Oryzias latipes: one gene and its partners. The main gene of each other region encodes a partner of the protein of the gene in region 2 in a complex. Links are inferred from orthologs where the notes say so. Each region holds a gene or a part of one and is shown on either strand. Other genes may lie near its edges. The genes, in order: polr3f, polr3g, polr3d, polr3c, polr3k and crcp.

Region 1 (4,735 bases), on a different chromosome or scaffold from region 2:
GCCATCACTCAGCTGGCAGACGACACGCCCACATTCATGAAGGACAGTCATCAAACACCTGACATCATTCAGAACCTGGATTTCTTCTCTAAAGAATCTGGTTTCAAACTGAATCTCAGCAAATGTGAATTGTTGCCAGTTCTCCATTCTGATCAGTCAGTCCTTCATAACATTCCTGTTAGGACTGCTGTGAAATATATTTAGTTCAGATCACCAAAGACAGTAAAACTATGGAGGAAATGAACTTATGGAAAACTTTAGAAAAATGTAAGTTAATGTAAACATCTGGTCACAGCGAGACATTTCTATTCAGAGTGTTTCTCACTAAATTAGAATGTTGATCCAGATTCATTTATCCAGCATAGGAAAGCAATAAACCCGAACAATTTCAACTTCATCTGGAAAAACAAAATTAATTCCATAAAAAAAGAACAATAATTCAGGATTACAGTGAAGGTGGACTTAAAGCCTCAGACTTTGAAAGTTTGGATGGTATGATTCAAATAAATTGGCTTAAGTCTTTTCTGCAAAATGGGAGAAATATTTGGTTTCATATTCCCTCAAACATCTTTTCTCATCTAGGGGGTATTGAGTTGCTTCTAAAATGTGATTTTGATTACAGAAAACTTCCTATTAAACTTTCTACTCATCATCAGCAGCTGTTACTGTATGGAAACTCCTCTACAAACATAACTGTAGTTCACACAATACTCCATATGGAACTGTTGGGATATTTTATGTAGGAACAAATCAATATTTTACAAACATTGGATTGATGACAGTATTTGGTCATTAATACATATTATGAATGACAATGGAAACATTATCTCATTTGAAACTTTTTCCAGTAAATTTAAATTAAATGATAGAAAATAATATAATAATGTGATCAAAGCCTCAGACTTTGGTCCAAATGTCCTCCAGTCTGGTTCATGATGATCAAGTTCAGCTTCCCTCTCTGTTGTTTGATGGTCGACCGGTTAATTCAAAACTTCCAAACTCATTTATACGATCTTTATTTGTTAGAGCCGTCCTGTTTCCAACATTAGACATAAATCATTCTATGTCACAGCTTTACACAAGAGAGGAAATAAGCAAGTTGAGGTCTCAGTTCATTAAATATCCAATTTTCCCAAAATACAAAGAAATCCATTTTAAAATAATGAATGCAGTCTATCCATGCAAAGAACTGTTACACATACGTTTAGGTTTTCCAGAGAATAACTGTTCTTTTTGTGATATAAATATTGAAACACTTGATCATTTGTTTTTTGAATGTATGTATGTTTACAGTTTTTGGGAGGATTTCTTTTTTTGGTGCTCTTCAAAGTTTCCCTTTCCTATTTCTATTCACTTACAAAAGCACATTATATTATTTGGAGTAGTTTCTGGTGATAATCTATTTGATTTGACATTCAATACCTTATTAATATCTGGGAAATTTTTCATTCACAAGTGCAGATTTGTAAAAACGAAACCATTATTTAATACATTTCTTAAAGAAATCAGTTTATATTTTAAATCTCTGACATTGATGAAAAACAAAAATGCAATAAAACTGTGTGTTTTCATTGAAGATCACATGCTGTATGACAATCCCTAGTGTTGTAAACTATAATTCTATATATTTTGTTTTATTTATTTACTTATTTTCTTTTTCTCTCTTTTTTGTATGTTGTTATTATGTGTATGTTTAAAGTTCAAATAAACAAAATTAAAAAAAAACAAAAAAAAACGTGAACGGACATCACGTGCTCTGATGACGTCACACAGGACCGAGCCTCTCCCGCCGCTGGGGGGCGGTAACGCTCCGGTCTCCGTGGTTCCCCCAGAAGAAGAAGCGGCGTCACCGGCAGCAGCGGACCGGGGAGATGGCGGAGGTTCGGGTAAAGAAAGAGACGAACCTGGCGGAACCTGCAGAGGTGGAGACCAGGTTCGGACCTCACGATTCTGCCGCGTGCCGGTCCATGACCGAAGCGCGTGCATTTCATCTACGAGCAGCTCCTTGGCTTGTTTCATGCGCGCGTGTCTTAAGTTCAGAAACGGTTCTGGTTCCGGAGGCTACTCTAAACCGAACCTCAGCAGGCTTCTAAGACCGAAACCACTTTGTCTGGTTCCAGAGGTTCGAATCGGGAGACCGACTCAGCTCACGCTCAGGTGGTTTTAGAACCGAGTCCAGTTCTGAAGGTTTTAGATCTGAGTAAACCTCCGAAGACTTCAGAACCGAGTGCAGGTCTGAAGACATTAGACTCGAGTCACTCGGGTCTAATGTCTTCATAACTGGACTCGGACTCGAGTCCCGTGAGTTCAGGTCTAAAGACTAAAGGAACCGAGTCCATCCAGGTCTGAAGACTTCAGAACTGAGTCCCGGTATGAAGGTTTTAGATCCGAGTCCAGGTCTGAAGACTTTAGAACCGAGTTCAGTTCTGCAGACTTTAGAACCGAGTCCCGGTATGAAGGTTTTAGATCCGAGTCCTGGTTTGAAGGTCCAGGTCCGAGGACTATCGCTGCAGCTGTTGGATGTTCTGGATGTTGTTCAGAGAACACGCGGATGGGTCAGACGGATTCTAGAGTTCAGGCGGTCTTTGGACCATTTCTGAAGATCCAACGTGACGTTCTGAACGGACCAGAAACACTAGAACCTCCGTCTTGGAGAGGTCCATCTGAAGATGTTCCTTTTTGTTCCAACTGGAGATGAGACCCAAGCTGACACAGGGTTTATTATGGGATGTCTGATCTTTGGAGCGACTGGACCTTGTGGTTCTGATCCAGGAACTTCAGCTCTGAACGCCTGTGTGTCTCCAGGATCAGAGAGCTGTGTCAGCAGTTCCCTCAGGGAATCACAGACCAGGTGATCCAGAACGACATGCCTCACCTGGAGCCGCAGCAGAGGGCCCTGGCCATCAACAAGCTGCTGTCCCTGGTTAGTCCGGTTCTGAACAACCCAATCCATTCTTCAGCGCAGAGGGGTTCTAACGTAACCTGGTGTTTGTTCCAGGGCCAGCTGGACTTGCTCAGGAACAGTTCTGGTCTTCTGTACAGATTAAAAGATTCTCAGACAGCCAGGTGAGCAGCGTTCCATCTGCAGGTTCTGGTTCTGTCCACCGTGAACCCCAATCCTCTGTTTCAGTAAGATGAAGGGCTCGGACAACCAGGAGAAGCTGGTTTACCAGATCATCGAGGATGCCGGAAACAAAGGTGAGCTCTGTCTGCCTCCTTCCAGAAGGTACCGCGGGTCAGAACCTCCCAGATGTTCTGTTCGCAGGAATCTGGAGCAGAGACATCCGCTTCAAGAGCAACCTCCCTCTGACCGAGATCAACAAGATCCTGAAGAACCTGGAGAGCAAGAAGCTCATCAAAGCCGTCAAATCTGTGGCCGTGAGTTCAGAACCGAGCCGGTCCAGACGTGCTTGTGGCCGCCGGCAGTCCTGAACTCTGCTCGTCTGCCACGCAGGCGTCCAAGAAGAAGGTCTACATGCTGTACAACGTGCAGCCGGACCGCTCCGTCACCGGAGGGGCCTGGTACAGCGACCAGGACTTTGAGTCCGAGTTCGTGGAGGTTCTGAACCAGCAGTGCTTCAAGTTCCTGCAGAGCAAGGTATGGAGAACCCAAATGTACGGAACACCAAACCAATGGGTCACAAAGGTCAGAGGTCAGCTGTAGAGCTACGTTTACACCGGGAAACGCGTTCAAGGGACCGCTTTGAGTCCAAAGTCTACGGGAACGCGTCTACGCTTCCGCCTCCAAACTCTACAAAAAGCGCCGCCATTGAACGTGAAACCAGTTGAACTTTGACCAATCAGGGACTCTGAGTTGGTTGCGACGTATGATGGCGTCAAAGCAGAAGTACCAACGACTGAAACTTGATCAGAAAGGACAAAGTAATAACTGCGGTTTGTGTCGACGCCAAGTCTATGATGGATCAGAATCGAGCTGTGAACAAAAGACTCACCAGATTTGGACGTTTCCCACCGAGTCGTCCAACCGCAGGAGACGGCGCCGGGTAGCCACAGTCCAGAATGAACGCCGTAGGCGAGCAAAGGTTCTGTGGTCTTCAACGCGCATCACGTGTGTGAACGTAGCACCAGGCTGAGGGGCCCACCCCTCACCCCCACTCACCCCTGTGTGCAGGCGGAGGCGGCGCGGGGCGGCCAGCAGAGCCCCATGGTTCAGAGGAACAGCTCCTTCGCCACGTCTCACGAAGTCTGGAAGTACATCAGCGAGTTGGGCATCAGCAAGGTGGCCCCGCCGTGACCTCACAGCCCCTCCCAACAGCTGCAGCTGTTCTCACAGGTGTCCCGTGTGCAGGTGGACCTGTCCATGGACGACATCGAGACCATCCTGAACACGCTGATCTACGACGGGAAGGTGGAGATGACCGTGATCGCCGCCAAGGAGGGGACGGTGGGCAGCGTGGACGGACAGATGAAGCTGTACCGCGGCGTGAACGCCGTGCTGCCGCCGGCGGGCCTGGTGAAGACGCCCTGCGGCCTGTGCCCGGTAAGCCGCGCTCCGACGCCCCCTGCTGCCGCTCCGGCTGCGGCACTCACCCCCCCCCCCCCCCCAATCTCTCTGCAGGTGTTTGACGACTGTCACGAAGGGGGGGAGATCTCGCCATCCACCTGCATCTACATGACAGAGTGGCTGGAGTTCTGACTCCGCCCATGGAACCCCGCCCCTTTCCTCCATGGAGCCACGCCCCTTTCCTCCATGGAACCCCGCCCCTTTCCTTTG
Region 2 (4,868 bases):
TGATACTACCAGTATTGAATTTTCAATGAAACCTTGTTTTATCCAAGTGTCCTGAATCTGGCTGGACATGAAACTGTGGTAAAACTGCATATGTGCATCAATATCTTAATATGCAATGTTCCCAGATAAATTACCTAAATGTTATGTATTGTACAGTTGCTATCCTGTGACAGTTTTGTTGACTGTGTGCCTTTCAAGTTGGAAATATACTGCAGGCTTAATAAATATCTATTTTGAATAATTTATTTTTTGAAGTCTGCATATTTATGCTTATATATACATATCCATTAAATAATTACATGGCGTAAACATGAAGTTACTTGGCTTACGAGCTTTAGCTAAACAGACATTTCATATGCAACTGTCAAAGCCATGCAAAATGGGCTTCAGTAGGTTGCTTCCCCATCCATGTTATCGTCACTTTCAGCAGCAAAATCTTCACCGTTGTCAAAATAGCTTTCAATGTAGTCATTTTCCTGAGGAGCAACAAGCAGATAAAACATTAGTTGCATCAAATAAGACCAATGCAGATTTTCCACTATTCCTGGGACCAAACCTCTTCTATGTCTTCTTCGAGTTCTTCCTCTTCGATTTCTTCATCGTCCTCTGCTTTCTTCTCAGTTTCCTCATCTGACTTCTCAGGATTTTCATCTTTCTTGGCCAATTCCTGAGCAGATTTTTTGGGGTGGGATTCAAACTAAATGGTAGGCTTTCTTCCCATTTAAAAAAAAGTCTACATTTTCACAGCAGTTCTCTTTGTTCTGCTTGGCAGTATGGTTTGGGCCAATGTGTTTAAAGCCGATCAGTTAAGGAAGAAATGTTCAAGTCTGAACAGTTTCCTTTTTAAATAGATTTAAGCCCATCAGACACTAAAGATGGGTCTGTCAAGATCATTCAAGAGTCAAACTGTTTTTAAACTTGATGTAATTTGATCAGTTTCAGAAAGGGACATGCGATTTTTACTTTTTTTACCAATTCAAAATCAGAAGCACCAGTACAATAAGCGTTTTTCAGTCTAATGTTGGTATTAAAAAAACAGGTAAAATTGTGCCTTATATTTTACACAGATGTAGACTTCTGCAAAATCTTGCTAAAACTTCGTACAACCATAATCTTTTTTCACATGGCTTTAAACTATTCTGTCCTTATGGCAGTTTCCAAACTAGATTTTTTTATTTTAAAGGCATGTGCCTACTAACTTCAGCACCGAATGACAGCGCCTAAAGACATCCTTGTACAAAGTTCAATTAAGAAAAAAAAACATTTAAATAGTCTAAAAAAGCTAAAGAAGGAAGATAGGCTTACATCCAGTTTACTGAGCACATTGGCTTTATCTTCCTTCAACTTCTTCACAGTTTTAGTCTTGGTGCCTGAAGCAAAAAACACTTTTTAAATAAATAAAAAACACGCATTCAACATTTCCTGCATGCAATGTGACTTTAATTTACCTTTCTTAATTCTACGTTTTTTACTTTGGGGCATCAGTTCTTTGGGAAAAAGGTTCCAGTCTGAAATGTGTGACACGATGTTTGCATTACTTTACATGACACCTTTTGAAAAAAAAATTTCCATCTAAAGCAATTACCTGGAGTCCATTCCTCACTGTTAATCTGGGCTTGTTTCAAGTATCTTTCAGTGTATTTCTCCACCTCTGTTTCATGTAAACAGAACAACAGAGTACATTTGAAAAAAGTATCAGATCAGTGAGAATTTTTTTACTAAACATAAAAGATAAAAAACAAATGAAAGTTAATCTCTGGAATCAATTCATTGCTACAGCAAAAATAAATTTATTGTTTAGACATTTATGCATTGTACCAAATTATTTGTTCATAAATGAATCTTAAAAAGTATTTTCTAATGATCAAAAGTCTGGAACCTGGATTAGAAATTGTCTTTTTTTTAACAGGTGACTTAAATTAAATGTACTCCTTTAAGTTTTTTCTTGGGTTTATGTCATAGACCAAAGAAAATTAAAGATGTTTAAAATATCTGTAATGATGGACCCCTAAAAAAACAACAACAATTGAAAACTTCATAATGAGGCATAAGCAGTAACTATAGAATCTCATTTCTCTTATGTATAACACTCATAAAATGTCTGATTTCCCAAAAGCAGCAGTTATCTCCACTTCCAGCAGCCCAGAATTATCTTGACGTAGAAATCTCTCATATGTCAGCACTCTCCCCCCTACCCGTTTTGCTGGAGCAAGCTTTAATGTTGTGTGGTAGCCTCTGCATTGCTCCTCTTAATTCCTGTTTTAACGCCAGCATGTAGTCTTCCTCTTCACCTCCTTTGAGTGGAACCGGTTTAAATTCAGTAGTCTAAATAAGGGCAAATGATGCAAGATATTTATTACAGTGACACGTTTCTTGTTTATCTGAAAATTGGTGTAATCCAAGCAGGCAGTCATTCTCAGAAAGTGTCCATAAACCAAGTGTTTGACACAAAATAGATTACATCATAGTTTGCTTTCTGAGCACATTTTACAAAGTACTGAGACTACACAGGGAGAGTACACTAAAAGCCCTACGTTGATGACACATGCCAATTTATTTTACTTAAATAAAACTTGAATTTTTGCTAATTAAACCTTCCATCTTTCCGTGTTTGTGTGGCATTTACTTACTGGAAACAGTGGACTGGGCCCCACCCTGGCTTCTGGCATGTTGCCTCTGCCAATGCCCAGAGCATCAATGTTGAAGGTAAACGCAGCCACCCCGCGGCCTTTGCCTGCCATGGCTGCGCCCCTGACCACGACCTGCAACACACGGTTCATCCTCAGGCAAGCACCGTCATTGACAAGCACGTGCTTGCCGGTATTGCACCATTGAGTCCGCTATGAGAAATGACAATTTTTCCCTGATATATATTTTTTCATAAATACTTACAGGAGGCCTGCTGGTAAAACTCTCCTTTTATGGAGACGTGAGATAAAAAAATAAAGTTTTATAACTATAAATGACACGTGTTTCCCAATGAAATCTTATTGAATTTGATTTATTTGTTAAAGCTAAACGGTCCGAGTTTGTGGCTTAGCGGTTTAGCTTACATTTAGGCGAAAAAGATAAGTAAATAAACCTATCGCTTCTTTCTATGGTTTTTTTGTGGAACCGGCTGGGAAACGCATGTGTAACCAATAGACTAGTCAGCGTGAGCAGATGCTTTCCCCTCTCCGCCCCTGCTTACGTCCCAATAGGGCGTTTCTTATTTTCGTCCAATCGCTGCCGCGTTCACATCTACCGTCATTTCTCACTTCGACCAATGGGCTGGCTGCTTTCAAACAAGGGTGTGTGCGGCCACCATCATTACAGCTTCAATGAAACCACACTGCTCCTAGCTACGAGGCTACTAACACTGTTGTGCTAATTCAGCCGACGGCGCGTCTCCCTTCCGAAGCTTACCTCGACATTTGCATGTCCTGGGATGTCTGCAGCCGACTGGTACGCCCACAAGTCGCTCGGAGACGGACTATTCTGGATCCAGGAGCGGTTTTATCAATCGGACAACCGGGCCAACATCTGGTTGCTCCGCGGTTCGCATCAGGACGTGGTGATAGACACCGGCCTGGGGCTGAGGAGCTTACCTGACTACATCGACTCCAAGGGGCTGCTGGGAAAAGACCCGCAGAGGAAGAACCCGCTGCTGGCCATCGCCACTCACGCCCACTTCGACCACTCGGGGGGTCTGCATCAGTTCCAACAGGTGGGCGTCCACAGCGCAGAGGTCGATGCGCTGGCCAACGGAGACAACTTCGAGACGGTCACCTGGTTGAGCGACAGGGAGATAGCCGAGCGCCCCAGTCCAGGGTGGAGAGCAAGGAACTACAAAGTCAAGGCTGTTCAGCCCACGCACATACTGCAAGAGGGTAGGCAGGGCATCTGTCAGCACACATGTGGTGCTTGGTGCTAGTGGGGGCTAAATCTGGGGTCAAACCTACAACTTAAAAACTTCATTCAGTGTATTAGAGTTTCAAAATCCTTCTCATTCTCAAACCAAATTTCTGCAAAACGAAATTAACAGATGGCCCAGTGACAAGCCAGACACAAGAAACCAGACTTTCAAATATTTGCACATGGGTGAGGTTGGGATACTGTGTGGTCCTCACCATTGTCTTGGCTCTCTTCCTGCAAAGCTGATCTATTTTTAAGTCACCATGCTGATGACTTTGGCAGATTCTGTTACTTTCAGGAATGAGTGTGTAGGTTTTTCTCACACACACAGCAAAGCACTGGGATATTTATCACCCACCATCCTGTCTGTGAATAAGTATATTCTGGACATAAGCATTTTCTAAACCAGGGCTCCTCATTCCTGGTACTCGAGATTTATCGCCCTGCCTGTTTTCCATCTCTCCCTGCACTGCTTGCTGCTGACTACCTGGAGCAGGTGTGTTCATTCAATCAGAATGTGGAGACATCTGATTGAGCTAATCATCCGCTAGCAGGACTTGGAGATCTGGAAAACCGTCAGGGTGGTAGATCTCGAGGATCAGGAATGAACAGCCCTGTCTAACCCTTGTGCTATCCTATGGGGTCAAGATGGCCATTGACGTGTTCTCCCTACCGTGGATAAAGATGGAGAGGATTTCATGTAATCCATGGAAACCAGTGAAGATCACAAATCATTAAAGAAAAAAGGTTCAGCGCGCTGTCTAGTGGGGTCTAGATTAGATGACCTCACTCCCAATGTCAAAGTGCCTAGGATACCACAAGGGTTAAAGCATACATTTACACAGCACTCTGCACTTACATCAGATCTGCATTTGTGCAGAGCAGCTCCAACTGTTGGACTGTGGTCAAGATTTCATAAATCAATACGCAGCCTTCTGCTGTGTCAGAGCCACTGTTTTTGTTTGTTTTTGTGT
Region 3 (4,917 bases), about 1.2 Mb from region 2:
AACGAGAAAAAAAAAGAGAGAAATGCCTTTTGGTGAAAGTCTGTGATGGTTGTAACTAAGAGAAGGATGGACGTACATTGTCCCGCTCCAGCTTGCGCAGAATTTCCTTCGTCTCCTCTTCAGTCTCCCTCTTCTCCTTTTTAATGTTAATGATGGGTGAAGGCCCCATGCTTGGAGCATCTCTTTCGCTTTCATATCCACCTATGAGGGGGGGGGGGGGGGGGGGGGGGGGATAAATCATTTGAAACTTTAAAAATGGCAGTTCAGCTGCAGCAGCAAACTGCATATGCTAGTCCTGCTGGCCCCCCACCTCTCCTTTTCATCATCATCTCGGCCGGCCCCTGCTCAAAGATAGAATGGGACTGGATGATCTCTTGGCGACCTCGGCCCCTGCCTCTGTCTCTCGGCCCTCGACCACGTTCTCCACCTCTCCGATCTCTCCTTTGATCAGTCTCAACTTTGGCTCTGTTGCAACCAAAAATTTTTTTTTTAAAACAGTTAAAGCTTCAGTTTACACGAATTTTATTTGTTCTTCACTGCATTTTTCAATCCTAGAAATAAAATCAACTTACTCCTCTTTAACCTTTCGGCCAATGATGTTGGGTGTGAAGGTTTTCTATAAAATTAAAAAAAAGATAAATGAGTAATAAGAAAAGCTGTTTATTTTTGAAATCTAGAAAAAAAAAATCATGATTGCAAGTAGGGCAAAAGAAGCTACAGAAGGGTTTCTTAATATATCTGGTGTGATTAACTCATCTAACACAATTCCTAACCCAAAGATTAAATGGCGAGTGAGGTATGATGCTAACCTTCTTCACTCCTCCCAGGGTGAGGTCCCTTGACCGCATGGAAGGGAGGCGTCCAGGAGAGAGTCCAGCTGGTGGTCGACGCCCCATCTGGAGTCCTACATTGCTGCTGCTGGCGCCTGCAGGAGTGGGAACGCGTTGACTGCTGGACTCCCCGGAGTCCGCCATCCTGAACTTTAAAGGGATGTCAAACTCCCAACCTGGTGGCCAACAATAATACTCATCATCATCTCTCTCAGACAATGGTGATGTTTAAAAGGAAAATACACAAATATTACATAAAAATTGTTTTCAAATGTCTTTATGAGGAGGTTGCACACATTTTACTGCCAGGTGAAACACTACTCTGGATTCTGTTGGCGTGTGCCTTTAAAACAGTTACGTAATGTCCAGGGTGTGTGGCATCTTTCCAAATACAACTCTTTCCCAATCAGTCTGGTAGTGCACTTCCTATCCCCCTCCCCTCTGTTCTTACTACTTCCTGCACGGTCTTCCTGTCCTCTGTTGTGCCTTCAGACAGCGCGGCACTAGAACTGAACCCTCATTGTTGGCCTTATAAAACCTGACCAGCAGTTCCTGAAAGAAGAGGGCCTGCCTCAACTTCCTGAGAAAGTACTGTGTTCTGACCAGGTGATCTCAGCTGTGACGTTTATTTATGGCCCCTCATCCTCGTGTGTCGCCAATCATTGGATTTCAAAGTAAAGCTACAGGCTAGAAGTTCTTTTGTTTTGTTTTTTTGGCCCCTATGCCAAAATTTAAAAGAACCAGCTGTTATCTCGCAAAATAAGATCAACGCACTTGTTTTTGTAATACATCTTTGCAAGAAAATTAGCAATGCTCAACAGCACGTGACACTAAAATTAGCAAAAAGATAAAGAAAAGATTTTTAGTGTCTTATCATCGCTACAAAAGGGGATTTGCGTGTCCCTCCCTTCATGTCCACAAATTCTGTCACTTGAACTGCAGCAATATTTAAACTTAATTTCATCTTCAAAAAATACAAAAGCTCAAAAAACAATTGAAATTTGTAAATTTTTTGGACTACTGATATAAGTTTACTCTCGTATTTTCTCTTTTTATTATTATTTTTTTTTAACTTTATTTTATTTTTTTCTTTGTTTAGTTTTATTTTATTTATTTATTTTTATTTGTTATTGCCTTTTGTGATTGCTTCTAATAATTAAAATTTTCTTAATGTTGTAACACGTTTATTCTACTGTACATTATATGTGCATAATTGTTGCATTCTCTTGTTCTGTATGTTGCAATTGTCCAATTAAAAAAAAGAATTCTGTTATTTCCCTAAACAAACACATTGAGCATGCGCGTCTTACAGGGTATGTTTGATTTGTTGTGCGGGGACGCTCAATTCCTTCACAGTCAAGAGGGCATGTTTCTGTGCCAGCTGGAGGTTGGTTAGTTTGTAACAAGACCAGAAAATCGATCAATGATTTCTGCTGTTTTTCTGAACACTATTGTGATTATGGTCACATGTCTTTTCTAAATTAATTGTTTTTCCACACATTGCAATGGAATGATGCTTTGACATTTCTTTGCTAACATCACCATCACGTCGTTTTTACGCTATAGTTAAAAAACCAAGCATGTATCTGAATGGTACTTTCCAAGATCGATTATCAATTTAATATAATTTTGAAAGGATTTTATAATGGTACAGTTCGATTTGAATCCATTATCAACTTGTTTCAGCCACAAAATCTGTTTTGATGTGTCACTTTATTAATTAATCATTAGACCCCATACCTAAAATTAATGTTATTGAGGTTTACATTAATGTAATTTGTAATAATACCGGGATAAACAAAAATATACTTTCAGTCCGTTCTGTAACCTTTTTCTTTTTATCTTTTTTACTCTGTTGTGGTTCTGAACGTAAGCAATTCAAGACATTAATTAGGAATGATTTCTTAAACTTTCGAGTCTAAGCATTGAGAATAAATTGTGTTTACAATGATATTTGTCAGTGATTTAAATACACAACCAGTATTTACATACGATGAATGAAGAAAAATGTTACAGAAACACGTGGCTAGTAAGATAGATCACAAACAACGCGAAAGCTGTCCAGAGGAAGTCTTAACATATTGCAGTTCTCCAAAAACTTACACGACACGTCCTCGGTGGTCCTTATTCGGAGTTTTCCCCCCTAAAACCTGCCAGATATCAGAAACAAAATCCTGTTGCCTCGTCCACCGCTGCATTCACTAGCGGCGCCATGACACTTCCGCTTTGGCTTCAACTTGCTCTCGAGGATCAAACATGCGCAGAAAAACGCGCATGCTTAGAAACATTATTTTGTTTTATTTTTATGTTTTATTTCAGAATCCACAGTCCAAAAAAATTCACTGTCATAAAAAAGATAAGATTAGATAAACGATTATACTAGTCTTTCCAAATGTTTCCTAAAACAGCTAAATGAAAATTATATTTTGAGTTCTGACATATCGTGCATTAGTTTTCCTGCAAGTTTTGTCAGATTCATAAAAATCTTTTGCATGGATTAATGTTATTGAATGTTTTGAAATAAATGTCTCAGATGTGAAGAACCAAAAGATATGGCATATTTCGAGATTGGAAATTTTTTTTTTCTAAAGATGTTATTTTCCTCTGACATGCTAAGGGAACTGATTATATTACTACTACTACTAACAATAATAATAATAATAATAATAATAATAATAATAATAATAATAATAATAATAATAATAATAATAATAATAATAATAATAATAAATATTTCATTTGTTTGGGCACTTGTTTCCTTGGTTATTTTCTGTCTTACAGCAAAATAGTCTTATGCAACATTCACGCTTTTATATTTCTCGCCTTTCAGCATATTCCTTCTGGGGTCTCGACAGCGAATCAGCTTTCCCTGATTCTCACAGGTAGCTTTGCAGAGATTTTTGCGCCAGATGATCTTCCTGACACAACCCTGTATTTTATCCTAGCTGGGGACCGGCACAGGGGAACCTAGACTTGGGCCCCCTTGTGGCTGCATAGTTACGCAGTACAACAAAGGGTCTTGCCTAAGGGCCCACACTGCATCAAGTTCATTGTGGCCCCTGGGAAGCGGATCCTGGTTTCCCATGATCCAGTCCTACACAGAGCCAACTGAACTATCCATTTGCTACCTTATGCAAACAACTGCATGCAGTTAAATAAAACAGTAAGATTAAATATTTCCATGCAGTTAAACAGATTAAATCTAATATAAACTCTAAATGGAAACTCACATCTTTACATTTTTAAGGAATTAAAATAGAGTTTGTGATATAAGTAATGAATGTTCCTACTGTGTGATATAGTAATAATACAAATAATCTGTTAAAGGAAACATCCAATAGGCCTTCAGAGTGCAAAGAAAATATTTGTTTTTAATATGTGAAAAATATAAATAGATGCAGTTAAATAAATCAATTTGATCAAACAGGGAAAGTTTAGGTTACCTTTTTATGAGCTGCATGTCATTAGAGTATGGTTTAGTGTGAGAAAATATTAAAGGGGAATTCAAGATATAGAGTTTAGATGATGTTTGAAACTCCAAGTTTAATGACGATTTTTTTTCTTTTAAGAATAACTTGGCAAGAAAAATGTATGTTTTTTTATGTTCTATATACACAAAATGAAAAATTTGCCAAGCAGAAGGAGTCAATGTATCCTTTTCAATGGGTCTCTTCAAAGACAAAAGTGTGTACTCATCTCCAGAGCAGAAAGGATTTCATGAACAGTCGGAATTGCCATGACTGATGATGGATGATTGCAGTTTAATTACATTCTGAGGGCATCAGTTCTCTGCTGCTGACTGAAAGTAAATTAGACTCTTCAGTACCGCACACTGTCTGTGGAATTATGGCAACACACCATGGCCATTTCTGAAATACAAGTAATATAGGTCGTTGAAAAGAATACACTCTCACTTTGGACCCTTTCCCATGTTTATATCAATTCTTTCAGTAGCCGATTAGTCCATAAATCTGAAAGAGCTTTTATTTAATCTTTAAAATAATCCTACACTGAGTTGTCCTTTGAGGCTGGAACAACAAGAGAAAAAAAAATCAACAACAACAACATCGTTTTGACAATGAGTGCT
Region 4 (4,916 bases), on a different chromosome or scaffold from region 2:
CAATATACATTCCTCCTCCACTTTCCCCAGCCTTCCCCACAAACTCCATCTTAGGAAGGAAAAGTGGGAAACTTTTTGAGCATTTTGTGGGGAGCCAAGCAAAAATCAGAGAGATATTTGAGATGAGGAGGACCTACAGGGTCATCCACCAGCAGAGTGAGGTACTGGTCCAATATATGGCGGGGGATGTTGTAAGTAGCTGGGAGGGACCTGAAGATCTCATTGGCTGAAAGGGGTTTTGTGCACGGGGCAGTGGAAGAGGTTGTCACCTCACTCATCCTCAGCATGGTTCTCACTATTTCACTGCTGGTCTGGGTAGGAAAGATGTGAGAAGACAGCTAGTTAATAATAAATAATAATAATAAATAATTAATAATGAAATAAATGTAAAAAGCTGTAGTATTTAAAGCACAGAGAACAATCCAAGAAAAAAGAGGAATTATTAGGAGTACTTCCAAAAACTATCACTTTATTTCATTTAAAATTTGAATTTTCTTTGATTTTAAGGTCAATACTTCAAAGTCAGATAGTCTTATCAAACAACCAAATGCTTATGCTAAATTCCTTCAGCCATACAAAGAGGGTTTTCAAATACTATTCATTTTTACTTTTAACCATCAAATAATTATACACTGAGGAAATGTATTTGGGTTTTTTTTTCTAGGCAATTATTTTTCAAAACCTGTTTTTCTTTTAATGAATAAAAAAAATGGTTAGTTTGAAATGTTTTGTGGAATTCCCACCTGATCTAGTTTGTTGGCGACAGCACTGATGATAGTCTGATCCCGGAAATGCTGGTGGAACCGTTCAAAGTTCACCTGCCAGTAAATCCCCTCATCCCCATGAGTCTGAGCACCAAAGATCCAAGTTATGAGAAGACAAACAGAAGTCACAACCATAGAAGTCTTAGCATATGCAGTGAACATCTTGCTTTAACAAACGTCTCTCTGACCTCTGGGTCCATTTTCGCTTTTTTCGCATTTCTTTGGTCCTCTCCTTCCTCGCTGGCGAGCGAGCGTTTGCTCCGGCCTATGAGTGTCACTTGAGGAACCCTGTAGCAGTCGGGGAAGCTTTCCGGTGTGGGTGCAGTGCTGCTGGCAGGAGCTGCAGAAGTCGAATTGGCAGTCTGACTGCTCCCTGTCGTTCCTGCTCCTGCTGCTGGGGGACAGCGCTGGAGAAAATGAGTCTCTACCAGTTTGGAAAAGGTGGCGGACACTTCACCATAATCCATGCTCGACCCCTCTGTATCAACAAAACATCAAAGGAAGTATTCATTAGAAAATGAATCTACTGATCGCGATATTTTAGGCCTCAATCCAAAGCTTAACTGAAAAAAAAACCTTCAGAAAACAGATCATCTCTTTTATGGACAGTCTTTTGTTTGATTCTGATGCTCACCGTCCATACTCTGAGTTAGACGGTCTGCGACTGTCTTAACTGTGTTGCTCATCGTCATGTGGCCCCTCTGCAGCAGCTCCTCTATGATAAGCTCACCGGTGTCGCCGTACAGCGTTTTGGCTGTGTATATGTAACGTGGGTAGCGCAGAATTCTCAGTACCCGATCGCAGTGGGCTTTGTATTCCGTCGGGCTCCCCGGTCCTTTTCGACCTTGAATAAACGAACAGGCTCCATGTTGCACAAGAACGCACAGAGACTTCTTTACCTTGATGAAAGAAGAAGAAGTCCTGTTAAAGTACATGAACATTACCAGACATCACTGTATTGTATTGACAAAAAACTGATAAGCAATCAGTTTCAGGTAAAACTGTTTTCAAATATGAATATATATTACCTGAATAATTACATTATAATTTTGTTTCTCTTATTGTTCAAATATCTTTAAAGAACTAACTTTTGCCATATTGCAAGGGACATAGTAATATATGTGACCGTTTGCTTTGAATAATAATTCAAATAATGAATAATTTTGATTATTTTTCAAAGAACATCTGACTACAGCGAATGCAATCTCAGTCTTGCGTTGACCTACCAGATCCACTGACAAGCCAGTTTCATGAACAATGGCTCTTAAATTTTGCGTTCCACTTTTGAGCAGATTTCTTCCCACTTTCTCCACCACTTCTCCAAAGTGCTCCTGCAGCAGAAGACCACACAGACGGACCTCCTGGGCTGTCATCTGCACAAACACACCAACAGTTCAATGAAAACCACTAAGTTAATAATAAGAACTAATGCATGTGCTTTTAGTAGGCTGTAAAGATGAATCGATTCATCCATCTGAGGCAAGATGTTAATCGAATCAAACTATACCAATATGAATTAATTTTAAAAGGAAATAAATCAATTATTATCAATATTGGAAAATACCATTTGGATTAAGGCACAGTAGGCTTTTTTTCTAACTATAACGTTAAAACAGACAACACATCGAATGGCAGCAAAATGTAGGTAAAACTGTCCATTCATTCTTTTTTACTTGTTTGTTTGTAAACATGTTTAATTTACACTTAATTATGTTGCAAAAAAATACAGGGAATGTGGAAAACTTCCCCTGCACTGTTCAGAATCCAGGTATTTATTTTCTGAGTCCCACTGGTTGAATTCTTGGCTAAAGATGTTCTGGATCGATTTTAGATCAGTGAATCGGATCGGATTTGATCGTTCAACATGAACCAATATAAACAATAAATCAATTTTATTTTAGTTCAGTTTAGTTTTTCAATAAACAGCACTTTTTTTAGTTATGTTATCTCTATACATCTAGTTTACGAACTACAAACAACAATAATAGTATTTTACTTTGTTAAAACAGGCACCACTTATTCCAACAGGTAAAATCTAAAAATAAAAAGTTAGATCGGTCATTAAGTAGTTTCCCTTATAGCATACAGTGCATGTAAACTATCTCTTCTAATTTGAAAAGTCAACAGTTGTTCAAGTTCTTTCCCCCTTGGGCTTTTGGATAGTAAAATTACAATTGCATGCTGGGAATTTACTAAATTATCTCTGAATATTTGATGGTATAAGCCTGGCATTTTTTTTTTTTCACAAACCTTTTTCGATTTCAGATCTCGCAATGAAAGCAGACTCCGTGCAGATAGTTTAGCGCATGAGGCTAGTCGATGACAACAAACAGACACTTCCGCTCCCGGTTTTTTGCTTGCTGTGATTCGACAACAGTGCCGCAGTGCATGCCGGGCTGGGGGCGGACAGCTCCCTTCAGCTAGTGGAGGACCGACGTCAGTGTTTGTGCTGCTCCGGGAAGATGGCGGAGGCTGCGGCTGTTCCCTCGCATCGGTTTTTCTGTCACTGTTGTAAGGGAGAAGTAAATCCCAAACTCCCGGTAAGTCGCGTTATTTTTGGTTATTCGCTCATTTTATGTTGAGTGTTATGCGCGGCTGACAAGTCTGCCTTCCGGCAGGTAGCTGTTTGTTTCGGCTACTTCTTGCTACAGCTAAGCCCATAGGCTATTAGCATATAGCAGTGTTTGTTGTTGTTAAGTCAGTAAAGAAACTCCGGTTAGTCGTTTTAGGGGAAACTAAGCTACTCTTAAAACTAACGATAGTAGGTCTTGTTATTCGTGCCTGTTTTAAAATACTTACGCTAATCTCTGTGCTTCAAGGTAGAAGTTGTGTGCTTGGTGGTAAATGATAGATGCATGTTTTTGAACAAAACAGCCCGAATTAATCTGAGAGTTTATTTATTCATAAACTGTCACTCAGATTTTCCTTTTCAGTATATATACACATTTAGTTTTTGTTTCTGTTAACAGCAGTGGCAGTATAAGCAGGGGAAGTTTTCTGTAGATGTCATACGTTGTGGTTTACTTTCAGTTTTAGTGTTAAAGTCAAACGTAACAATGTCGGCAGAAGAGGCGTTTAAATGGCCTACTATTACTATTTTACAAATATTCTTTAAAAGGCCATTTATTTAAAAGGACATTCCTACGTTTTTACAAAAACATTTAACTAACTGTAAGTGTTTGTTTTTTTATTTGTAGTTTTTTTTCTCTTGTTGACTCCGTTTTGTGTTTTTGAAACAAATGTTCCTTGGTAAATAAATAAAAATTGACACACATTTTTCAATCATTGAAATATAAGTTATTTTGTTGATGATAATGATTATAGTATTTCATTTTGGACAAGAAAAAATTTGGACAGGTTAAAATAAATACCAGAAATATCTGAATTTCTAACATGAATGTGTTCTCTTACATGTTTTATAAATTTAGCTTATAACTGGCTGATGTATTGAGTAAATGAATTTTGTTATATAACCCGAATTTTAGGAAACACTGCTTTATGTTGTGTCTAGATTTTGACTGAAAGTTTAAATTAAAAAGTGCAACCTGTTAGCTTCTTAGAAGCAATCTGTTAGACTGATACAGAGATGGAGGGTTCTGTGATTTACTGTGCCATAAAGTAAAAATAAACATCCAAACGTCTATTTGTTTAATCGACCAGTAAACTGGAAACAGAGCTGTGACTATTGCCTCCCCATTATTTTTAAATTTCAGATAATTGGTCACTAATTCTGGATTTACTCACTTGTCTCTTTGTGATTTTCTTTTTCTGTGTTGGATCAAGCAACTGCAAAGATAATATCAAACATTTTTTAAACCTGAAATATAAAGTAAATTATAAAAATCAACAAAACAATACATAACATTTATTTATTACAAGTAATTGTGTGAGTTTTGTGAGTAAATCTGAATTCAAAGGCTTTGACCAAAATAATTTCTGTAATTCATAGTCACTTTTTTTTTCAATTCAACCTTAAGAACATTTGTGAATTTCATTTGTATATTTAGCACTCCAAATCGAGTGAACTACAATCTAAAAAGACATTATTGTTGTGACCCACTTTTTAATGCTACAAGTATTGTACTTCAGGTGTTGCCGTAATGGCTTACAACTTTGTTTTTATGCTAAGTGACCTCAATCCTGTTCCCCTGA
Region 5 (3,809 bases), on a different chromosome or scaffold from region 2:
TGCACCACCACTATAGCTAAATATGAAAAAAAAAAAATGTTACTACTGTGTATAGTAAAAAAAATGTGCAAAACATATTTAAAATCATTTGAAAGCTAAGAAAAATCCACATGCAAATATACATGGTCTGTCCAAAATTAAAAGTTGGATTTAAATATGCAAATTTGGACGCGCCTCCCATTGGATAAATATTGCATGGGCGACTGTCTGCTTGGGCGATGGGGTGATTGTCTGTCAACGGGTAACAGGTTTTATAATCCCAACTGATGCAATGAGTTGATTCCCTCTTTTTAAACCACCAAGTCAATAAACACATCCTGTGGGAGAGATGTTAGTTTGTTGGTGACGGGTCAAATCACTGGCGGTAAATTAAACATCAAAAGAAACTGCAGAGAGGGCGAACGGGTTAAGAACTGTCCAACACATTATGAAAAACTGGAGGGATAATGCGGGACACAAGAGCTGTGCACCCTTAAAAAAAAACCCACTGACCATTAAGGCCAACCAGAAAAAAAACGTTTGTCAGGGAACATTTAGATTGGACTCCAGAGCGATAGAAGAAGGTTATGAGGTCTGATGAGTCAGGCAGTGAACACAGACATAGTCATACAAACACAATATAGACACATACTAATTATACAAATCAGCTGGGAGACTTTGGAACTTACGCATGATTTCCCCATCTGCCTTAACAACCTTCACAGTCATTGCTTGCCCATACTCCAATGCAATCTGGGAGTTTACTTCTTCCAAAGTCACCTGAACACAAAAATATTGCAGATTGTGGATTCTCATCCTTCTAACACAGTAGAGGGTAAAAAAAAAAAAAATCAGTCAAATGGACTTGGTTAATCCTTTATAACTGCAGACATTTCATGTTTTCTCAAAGACAAATTTGCAAATACGAAAGATAAACCAGTTGTAAATAACAGATTTCTTTCTGGGCTTAATAATAAATGAGATTAAAAAAAAACAAATGTGATTATTGTATAATAGTCCAATGTTACAAGAGCAATACTGACAATACTAATGTTATGGATTATAACCTGTGTTTTTGTTATTTTTATTATGCATGTTTGGTACTTAATTCTAGATTAGAACATTTATTTCATTGCTATTCGTATATAATTCTTAAATCGTATAAACAGTTTCAAGAAGAAAAAGGAGAGAAAACATAAATTAGAGCTATAAGATTGTTTTGAAATTGGATTCGATTTGGCTTTTCAAGAATATATATGCAGCTATTTTCTGCTATGCAAATATGCCGTCAGACAAACCGGAAGAAGGACGCGTTTCAACTTTAGTGTTAAATTTACAATTTATGAAAATTTTCTTTAAACATCTGCCTGGTGTGCGGAGTGTGGTGTTTTTCTATGACCTGGATCGGCAGATCACACAGTAAAGGGTCCTGCACAAGTCGAGCAAGTCCCTCTTCGAAGATATCAAGGATCTCTGAATGTGGAAGAGACTCCTCATCTTCCTCCTCGGCATCTGGAGCTGTCTCATCAGCCAGCTTCTCCTCTTTCACCTCACTGTGACTGTGACTGTCCTGCAAACGATTCTCTCCTTCGTCGGTTTCCTGCTCCATCATCTATTATTGGTTAAAAATAAATACATTCAGTAAAAATGAAACCGCTTTCTCTTTTTTGACGCGTTCAATTAAGTACAAAAGATTCTTAAAATAATAATAATAGGATACTGTTTACAAAAATGTATCCCAAGACTGGTGTGAATTTTAATGCTGTGTGTCGCAGACCTTATACCGGTGGTATCATCAAAACATGATAAATAGTTCCGCTTATCAAAAGTAAGAACTTTTTTTCATGCGGCGGATGGTGGGGTTTTAAAATAATTATATTATTTATAATGTTATACATATATTTATACATTTATATACATTCTTTAACAATAACAATTTCATTTTTAACAAACGTTTTTTTTTTTTTTGTTTCCTACCGAGCTGTAAAACCGGAGCAACTGCTTCCGCTTTGCTTCTCCTTGCTAATGAATTTCGTAGTCGCTACTATCTTTCCCGAGATAGTTTTTCTTTAAATAATCTGGTAATATGCTTCTTTTTTGTCCTACTTGTGGAAACGTTTTAATCGTAGAAGAAGGACAGAAATGCTTGAGATTCGCTTGTAACACTTGTCCCTATGTGCACAACGTCACGAGAAAGGTACGCTCCTTTTATCACTGTCTGACTCTGACTCGAGAAACAAACACGACATTTCTTAGGGTGGTTTTTAATCTCAAACTTTTCAATATTTGTAGGTAAACTACCGAAAATATCCCAAGCTGAAAGAGGTGGATGATGTGCTGGGTGGAGCTGCAGCGTGGGAGAACGTGGATTCTACTGCAGGTAACAAACAAGTTTGTTACCAAGAATTAAAAAAAAACATGGATAGACTAGAGAATAATATAAAACAAAGGCCAAGAAAAACTAATTTGACTACTAAGACAAATATGTTCTCCATAGGAATAAATTAAAGTTTATTTGAAACAGTCCATTTGCGTGTTTAAAGGGTGTTAATAGTCACCCTTAGCTGCAAGTACACTTGAAGTTTATTTTATTAAGTGTACTTGGATGCAAGTATTGCACATATACTGCTGACCATGTAACGTGTAGGGAGTACATTAACTTAACACTTATTCTGACTAAATTGTGACATTTTATGTTTACTATATATAGACTGAACTTCAAGTACACTGCCTCACTCTAAGTATACTTGTAGTACACTTAAATGGACTACTTTTTGCTAGAGGCAGTGTTGCTGTGTGATGCTATGGCGAGTACCAACCTGAATGTGGGCCACAGAAAGAAGTTCAATCCGAGAACTAACTAAAATTCTGAACATGTGTGTACATATATGCATGTTTGCTTGTGTTTTTTCACAGAAACGTGTCCCAAATGCGAGCATCCTCGAGCCTACTTCATGCAGATCCAGACCAGATCAGCCGATGAACCAATGACGACTTTCTACAAATGCTGTAATGCTCAGTGTGGAAACAGATGGAGAGATTGAGCATTTTATTTCATTCACTCATTATTTCTAGTTTAAATGGCAATCAAAGCACATGTAAAGAATGTTTTGGACCCATTATTATTTATAAATAAAATTTGCTTTTCAGAATCAATCAACGGACAAATTCTTTATTTCAGAGCTTTTATTGATAAAATAATACCTGTGTACATCAGTCAATTCAATTGTCTTAGATGTTTGTATCTTGTTGCAGACATTGAGAGCAATGCATACCACTGGTTCCCACACGTTTATTTTCTATGCAATCCTTGAGCTCAAAATGCAATTTCTAGAGCAACTCAATCATCCTTAAGGTAAGGAAGAGAAAAAAAAATACAAATCTAGGAGCCAGCCAAAGAGAATCACTTATTTGGATGTGTAGCTCATGCAGACAAATTCTGCACCTCCAAAGCGTTGGTGAAAAATGAAATCGGACATGCTGTGACGGAACAGTGCTTTTACACTGTTAGTGGTTTATCCAATAAAAACTGTATTTTTGATATTTTTTTAGCTTAATCTGAAAAGACTGCTCAGTCAAGGCTATCGCTTCATCTAACATGCATTTATTTATGTCATAGATGACAAATGTCAAGATTAGGTGATCAATGCAATGATGGCTGCATCCCTTTCCAGCTTAAATACGGTTTACTACTTTCAAATCAGTGAGGAATCTCTACAATCTCAGTATCACAGAGATGGCATGTAGTGTTTCCACATAACCATGTCCTCGGCACACAAAGACTACTAAAATCTCTGATCAAATATGTTTTGATTAACTCCAGTTATATA
Region 6 (4,825 bases), on a different chromosome or scaffold from region 2:
AATAAATGGAGAACCAATGTGCATATTTTCCATTTCTCTTTCTAAAACACAATTTGTCATTTTACTTTTCTATATTTCAGTCAGTTTATGGATGGCACCACGTCATTCCTGGCCTTCTTGCTGGTTATTAACTGGATCAGTTGTACTCCTTCAAATATAACATGGAATCACCATCACATAATGACACAGTTAACTACCTTGAGATAACTGGGAGATGGACTGCTTTACCTTGTGCTATCCTAGGCACTTTAACATTGGGAGTTGGGTCATCTAGACCCACTAGACAGTGCGCTGAACCTTTTTTCTTCAATGATTTATGATCTTCACTGGTGTCCATGGATTACATGAAATCTTTCCACCTTTATCCACCTTTGTCATGGTAGGGAGAACACGTCAATGTAAGGGTGGGGTCATCTAAGATAGCACAAGGGTTAAAAGCATCTCAAAAGTGAGAAGGGCGACATCTGCAGGCTGAGTTTTAGAACTGCATGTTAGTGGATGCTAATGGAAATGGCCTCATTTGTGTTCACTGCAACAACTGCTTTATAGCTGCTTTGTATTGAAAAAAATATTTTTATTTTAAAAGGATACAGATTGCAGAGAGACAAATGGTAAACAGGGAGTGCAGTTCTTTAAGAGGCTCCATATAGTTTTGGAAATTCACTTTTTAAAATGTACTCTAAGAGATAATCTGCTCTAGAATAACTGATTTAGGACAATATATAATTGCTGTTGCATTATGAAACCAGATTATTTCTTAATAGAGGGAGCCTTCTACACTTGGCTTTAGGTGAGTAATTATTGGTTGCTAAAAAAGATTTTTTCGGGACACACCACACCCCAGTGAAGCAGCATCAGAAGTCTGCACTCCACATCCTGGTGTTACTCAGTTTGCTAAAAGAACGGCTGGATTTCTCTACTTGATTTTTAGTCAAATAGTGCAATGTACCCATTTTAAGGATTAAATATTTCTAAACCCATCACAGCCATAACCTCAACGCTTAGCTAAAGCAATAATAAGGCTTTGCTTAAACGGGTCATGAGGGTCTTTTTGGTTTGCTGTATAAGGTATTGTTAACATTGTCTTGTAATAGCTGCTTCAATAGATTATTAATGCGTTACAGGAATGGGCTCAAGCCTGGATTTACTGTGAATTGCCCATTCAAACTAACCCTGCAGACAGGAATAGCATGAAAAAACCAGAGTGGTAGAACCTGTAGGGCAATCTACATGTAACAAATGAAGTTGCTGATGGATGCATGTGAAAAAGTGCATGTTTTGGGTTAGATTTGAGCCTTTTTGGGTTGAGTTAACAAAAATACAAATATGAGAAAGATCTCATTTGTTATACAGAGCTACCATAGGAATACATGAGTAAATTATTTAGGAAAAAAAGATAAAACATTTAGAAAGACATGAAAAATACTTACAAGCTGAATTTCCACTGCACTCTGAGGCCGTTGGTTTAACAGCTGCAGTTTTTCTGCCCTTAAAGAGAGAAAGATGGCAAAATTTTAACTTTGAGACATTTTTATCCCCAAACTATACATCATTTATTAAGCGGAAATTACAATTGAAGCCCCAGAGGGGTGAAAAATATTATCTTTTAGATACTGACTTGGTCAGCTTCTGAGGCATCATGGTGGTGAGGAACTCTCTGACAATTTCAGGACTCTGTCTGCTGCATGGCGTCTTTGACAAATACTTTAGAGTCTGAAAGCAAATGCAGGTGAGAACATGGACTGGATTTGACAACTAAAGCTCAGACAGTATGAATAGTACCCACTTCATACATGATGGTGTTGAGGTCCTGTTGCCCGAGGCTATGTTTGCTTTTTCCAGCATCTTTCCTCTGTTCTTTCAGGTCGGTGAGAAGTTTGAATACCTGAGACGAAGACATTATTTAGCTTTTCTGAATAATTAATTTCATTACCAGGCAGGAAAATCAACAAAAACCCTTAATAGACAGTCTTATAGTCTCACCTCATAGTTACTGAGCATGGCCGCGTTTGCATTTTTTCTGTGTAAAAAAACCCAAATAACAATTGTTAAACATTAAATTATGAGATAATTAAAATATCTGTTACCAAAACAAGCTTTATAAGATTGGAATATTTCCCATGTAGTTTATATATTTAGTAAACATTTTTCTTCTGTGATTTGATCTTCACATCCTTGTGTTACTAAAAGAACGGCTGGATTTCTCTACTTGATTTTTATTTATATAACGAAATTTTCTTAATCGGAACCTCAGATCTTCTCTTTAATGAACAGCAATAATTTTTTTTTGTGTTTTCCCTTTTTAAAAACTAGAAACCCATCAATTAGATTATTTTAAAGCCGTTGAAACTTACTGAAATAGATATTAGCAAATGTTTTTGTTTTTCAAGTTTGAAGAAGAAAAGAAATACAATTAAAAAAAGCAAACTTTTGATAAATATAAATAAATCTAATGAAAAACAAGACAGAATACTGTTTAAATTCAAACCTGTTTCCCATATTTCTTTGCTTCAATGTTATTTAGAAAAATTAAGTTTGTGATTTCAGGCAAATATGAATTAGATCAGAGCTCAAGTGACAAGTTGACAAATGTTGTGGAGTGCGGCTGAGTTGGCTTATATTAGATGACAAAATGTTTTTTAGCTGCTTCATCATGTCATAACTAATTCATTTATTATTGAAGAGCCAACGCAGAATGTGTTTGTAAATGGAATGTTTCATGATTTGAAACAAATATTTGATAACACAAACTCAAACTAATCCGACCCGTGCTTTTTGTTTCTCCCATCTTCTGAAATTTACGTTTATAAACGATTTCGCGACCTTTTGTCCCGTCTCTAACTTCGTCCCCAAACATAATACAATTTAAAACATTTGTAGACTGCAAACTCTTCAAAATGGATCAAAGTCTCCCGGACTCAATATGTTTTAATTCAGTTGTTTTGTGTGTCGATCATCATCTCTCCATTTTTTGGCCGACAGCATCATCCCAACGGAACAAGCAAAACATCACATAATAAACCCGAAACTGAAACACGCACGAAACTACCATCGATCACAATTAAAATTGTACATGTAAATATACATAAAAGACTTATTAGCCGTTGTTTTGTTCTTAAAAAAAAAATCTTACACTTCCATGTCGACTCTTAGGTTCCGTTACAATAAAGGGGTTCGTGTAGAAAATAGGGGAGTATATTGGTTCCGCCTAGCAAAAAACGCATTTTTACATAGAACGTGGGATCAGAGAAAACAGAATAAATATTTAAAAAAGTGAAACACTGCCGAGATGTTTGAAAATGAAAAACAATGTAAGAGTATCTCAAAAAGTGTAAATTCGAAAGCCCCTTCACCAAACAGTTCAATGAAATTAACAAGGACTTCCAGAGCCTCATGCAGCAGCATCAGGGAGAAGGTGAAGTACACCCTGAACACATCGAGGGTTATTTTAAACATATTAAACATTTAACATTTACTGTTAGGGTAAGGGAACAAAAAAGGAATACACTAGAAGTCACTTTTATCAGATTTTAATACAGTTTCATTAGTCATGATTTGAAGCACACAGTATTGAACACTTTTTGCTTTTTAAAAACAAAAACAGAAAAAGTACAATGAATTTTATGCTACTGCACTGAGTAATGAGTAATCTATATTTGAAAAAACAAATAAATCCCAAAACATAATAAAACAACCAAAAAAAGGAAACCTTTTGTTGGCATTTCTTTTCAAGAACTTGATACAGGAATGAGTCAAGACTGAAATGTAAGAATTGGACATCCATACAAGTAAAATATACAAGAGTGAACAGATTTTTTCCAGCATTATTTTTTCTCTGAACTGGAGAGTGATGGTTAAAAATGTTTCTGGGACAGAAAAATCACATAATTATATTAAACAGGTGCATGTGAATTGCTTGGAGCAACAATAAAGTAAACAATAAGTGCAGAAATTAAAGCTTTAACTTTTATTAAAGCTGAGTTTAAAGCTTTCGTTTAATTTTTGCTTTTCACTGCTGGAATTTCTTTGTTTTACTGCAGTCAAGCCCAGGATAACTATAAAATGAGATGATGAGACCTAAACAACCTCCATTGGGACAGGTTCCTCAGTTTGGCAGAAAAACTCAAGGAATGTTTGTACAACTTTGTCATCCACACAGCTCCTTGCAGCTTCTTTGAACCGTTGGTTATTTCTGCTCTCAACTATTTTTTTGACACCGTCTTTGACGGCGGTGCCTCGAGTGTAGCTGCAATCAAGATATTCTCTCAAAACGTCAAACTTTTTTCCCTCCACCATTTGGATAATAAAATCTTCCAAAATGAAATGCAGAGGTTGGGCATATTCAACAACAGCCCGTCTTTCCATCCCTTCTTTGTCGTAGGTGAATCCTCCTGAATGCATTGCAACCACATTGCAGTGGTTGTCAAAAACAGGAGAGCCAGAGGAGCCTTCGAAAAAACTAGATTCGTATTTCAAAAGTTTATCAGCAAAGAAATACTTGGTTATCAGGGGAACCCTATCAACAACCTGGCTGTGTGGAACAATCAAACAGGGGTCGATCTTTTTCACACCTCCCTGAGGATGCCCGATAATGCTGATTCCACCACCATGTGGAAGGAAACCAAAGTGCTCTAAAAGACCAGGAGGCAGTGTCTGATCGGAGTCTAGCCTCAACAAAGCCCAGTCCCGTATTTCAGGCTTGTATTCAAAACAAACCACATCTTTCACTTCCAACCCCACATCGGCTTGGTCCAGACTTTCATATGAGAAATGAACAGAAACCTTTTCCTGAAGCTGGCCACAGTTTGAGTTGTAAATGTCTTTT

The links.
Region 1: polr3g (region 2) and polr3f share a complex: the UniProt entries of both Homo sapiens proteins name them as parts of the RNA polymerase III complex. The link is inferred for Oryzias latipes from reciprocal best matches to the Homo sapiens genes POLR3G and POLR3F.
Region 3: polr3g (region 2) and polr3d share a complex: the UniProt entries of both Homo sapiens proteins name them as parts of the RNA polymerase III complex. The link is inferred for Oryzias latipes from reciprocal best matches to the Homo sapiens genes POLR3G and POLR3D.
Region 4: polr3g (region 2) and polr3c share a complex: the UniProt entries of both Homo sapiens proteins name them as parts of the RNA polymerase III complex. The link is inferred for Oryzias latipes from reciprocal best matches to the Homo sapiens genes POLR3G and POLR3C.
Region 5: polr3g (region 2) and polr3k share a complex: the UniProt entries of both Homo sapiens proteins name them as parts of the RNA polymerase III complex. The link is inferred for Oryzias latipes from reciprocal best matches to the Homo sapiens genes POLR3G and POLR3K.
Region 6: polr3g (region 2) and crcp share a complex: the UniProt entries of both Homo sapiens proteins name them as parts of the RNA polymerase III complex. The link is inferred for Oryzias latipes from reciprocal best matches to the Homo sapiens genes POLR3G and CRCP.

Annotation. Positions count from the first base shown.
Region 1 is NC_019859.2:414,477-419,211, reverse strand, and holds the start of polr3f (DNA-directed RNA polymerase III subunit RPC6), read left to right. Parts: upstream 1-1,774; 5' UTR 1,775-1,871; coding exon 1,872-1,933; intron 1,934-2,805; coding exon 2,806-2,923; intron 2,924-2,998; coding exon 2,999-3,066; intron 3,067-3,130; coding exon 3,131-3,198; intron 3,199-3,265; coding exon 3,266-3,378; intron 3,379-3,454; coding exon 3,455-3,598; intron 3,599-4,132; coding exon 4,133-4,240; intron 4,241-4,309; coding exon 4,310-4,501; intron 4,502-4,579; coding exon 4,580-4,657; 3' UTR 4,658-4,735. UniProt on the Homo sapiens protein: DNA-dependent RNA polymerase catalyzes the transcription of DNA into RNA using the four ribonucleoside triphosphates as substrates.
Region 2 is NC_019867.2:16,255,444-16,260,311, forward strand, and holds polr3g (DNA-directed RNA polymerase III subunit RPC7), read right to left. Parts: upstream 3,143-4,868; 5' UTR 2,893-3,142; intron 2,763-2,892; 5' UTR 2,742-2,762; coding exon 2,631-2,741; intron 2,326-2,630; coding exon 2,196-2,325; intron 1,652-2,195; coding exon 1,586-1,651; intron 1,509-1,585; coding exon 1,449-1,508; intron 1,371-1,448; coding exon 1,306-1,370; intron 668-1,305; coding exon 557-667; intron 477-556; coding exon 387-476; 3' UTR 228-386; downstream 1-227. Other genes in the region: mblac2 (metallo-beta-lactamase domain-containing protein 2), read left to right, coding at 3,428-3,869. UniProt on the Homo sapiens protein: DNA-dependent RNA polymerase catalyzes the transcription of DNA into RNA using the four ribonucleoside triphosphates as substrates.
Region 3 is NC_019867.2:17,411,344-17,416,260, forward strand, and holds the start of polr3d (DNA-directed RNA polymerase III subunit RPC4), read right to left. Parts: upstream 3,054-4,917; 5' UTR 2,934-3,053; intron 1,007-2,933; 5' UTR 975-1,006; coding exon 810-974; intron 617-809; coding exon 573-616; intron 466-572; coding exon 311-465; intron 202-310; coding exon 77-201; intron 1-76. UniProt on the Homo sapiens protein: DNA-dependent RNA polymerase catalyzes the transcription of DNA into RNA using the four ribonucleoside triphosphates as substrates.
Region 4 is NC_019874.2:18,839,777-18,844,692, reverse strand, and holds the start of polr3c (DNA-directed RNA polymerase III subunit RPC3), read right to left. Parts: upstream 3,134-4,916; 5' UTR 3,015-3,133; intron 2,138-3,014; coding exon 1,991-2,137; intron 1,664-1,990; coding exon 1,399-1,663; intron 1,243-1,398; coding exon 953-1,242; intron 849-952; coding exon 744-848; intron 312-743; coding exon 138-311; intron 50-137; coding exon 1-49. Other genes in the region: E3 ubiquitin-protein ligase RNF115, read left to right, coding at 3,227-3,304. UniProt on the Homo sapiens protein: DNA-dependent RNA polymerase catalyzes the transcription of DNA into RNA using the four ribonucleoside triphosphates as substrates.
Region 5 is NC_019866.2:8,138,075-8,141,883, forward strand, and holds polr3k (DNA-directed RNA polymerase III subunit RPC10), read left to right. Parts: upstream 1-1,959; 5' UTR 1,960-2,065; coding exon 2,066-2,176; intron 2,177-2,271; coding exon 2,272-2,359; intron 2,360-2,895; coding exon 2,896-3,023; 3' UTR 3,024-3,135; downstream 3,136-3,809. Other genes in the region: snrnp25 (U11/U12 small nuclear ribonucleoprotein 25 kDa protein), read right to left, coding at 1-16, 669-759, 1,379-1,591. UniProt on the Homo sapiens protein: Core component of RNA polymerase III (Pol III) which synthesizes small non-coding RNAs using the four ribonucleoside triphosphates as substrates. Can mediate Pol I proofreading of the nascent RNA transcript.
Region 6 is NC_019872.2:8,448,613-8,453,437, forward strand, and holds the start of crcp (DNA-directed RNA polymerase III subunit RPC9), read right to left. Parts: upstream 3,218-4,825; 5' UTR 3,142-3,217; coding exon 3,134-3,141; intron 2,021-3,133; coding exon 1,984-2,020; intron 1,886-1,983; coding exon 1,787-1,885; intron 1,714-1,786; coding exon 1,619-1,713; intron 1,489-1,618; coding exon 1,431-1,488; intron 1-1,430. Other genes in the region: protein FAM111A, read right to left, coding at 4,078-4,825. UniProt on the Homo sapiens protein: DNA-dependent RNA polymerase catalyzes the transcription of DNA into RNA using the four ribonucleoside triphosphates as substrates.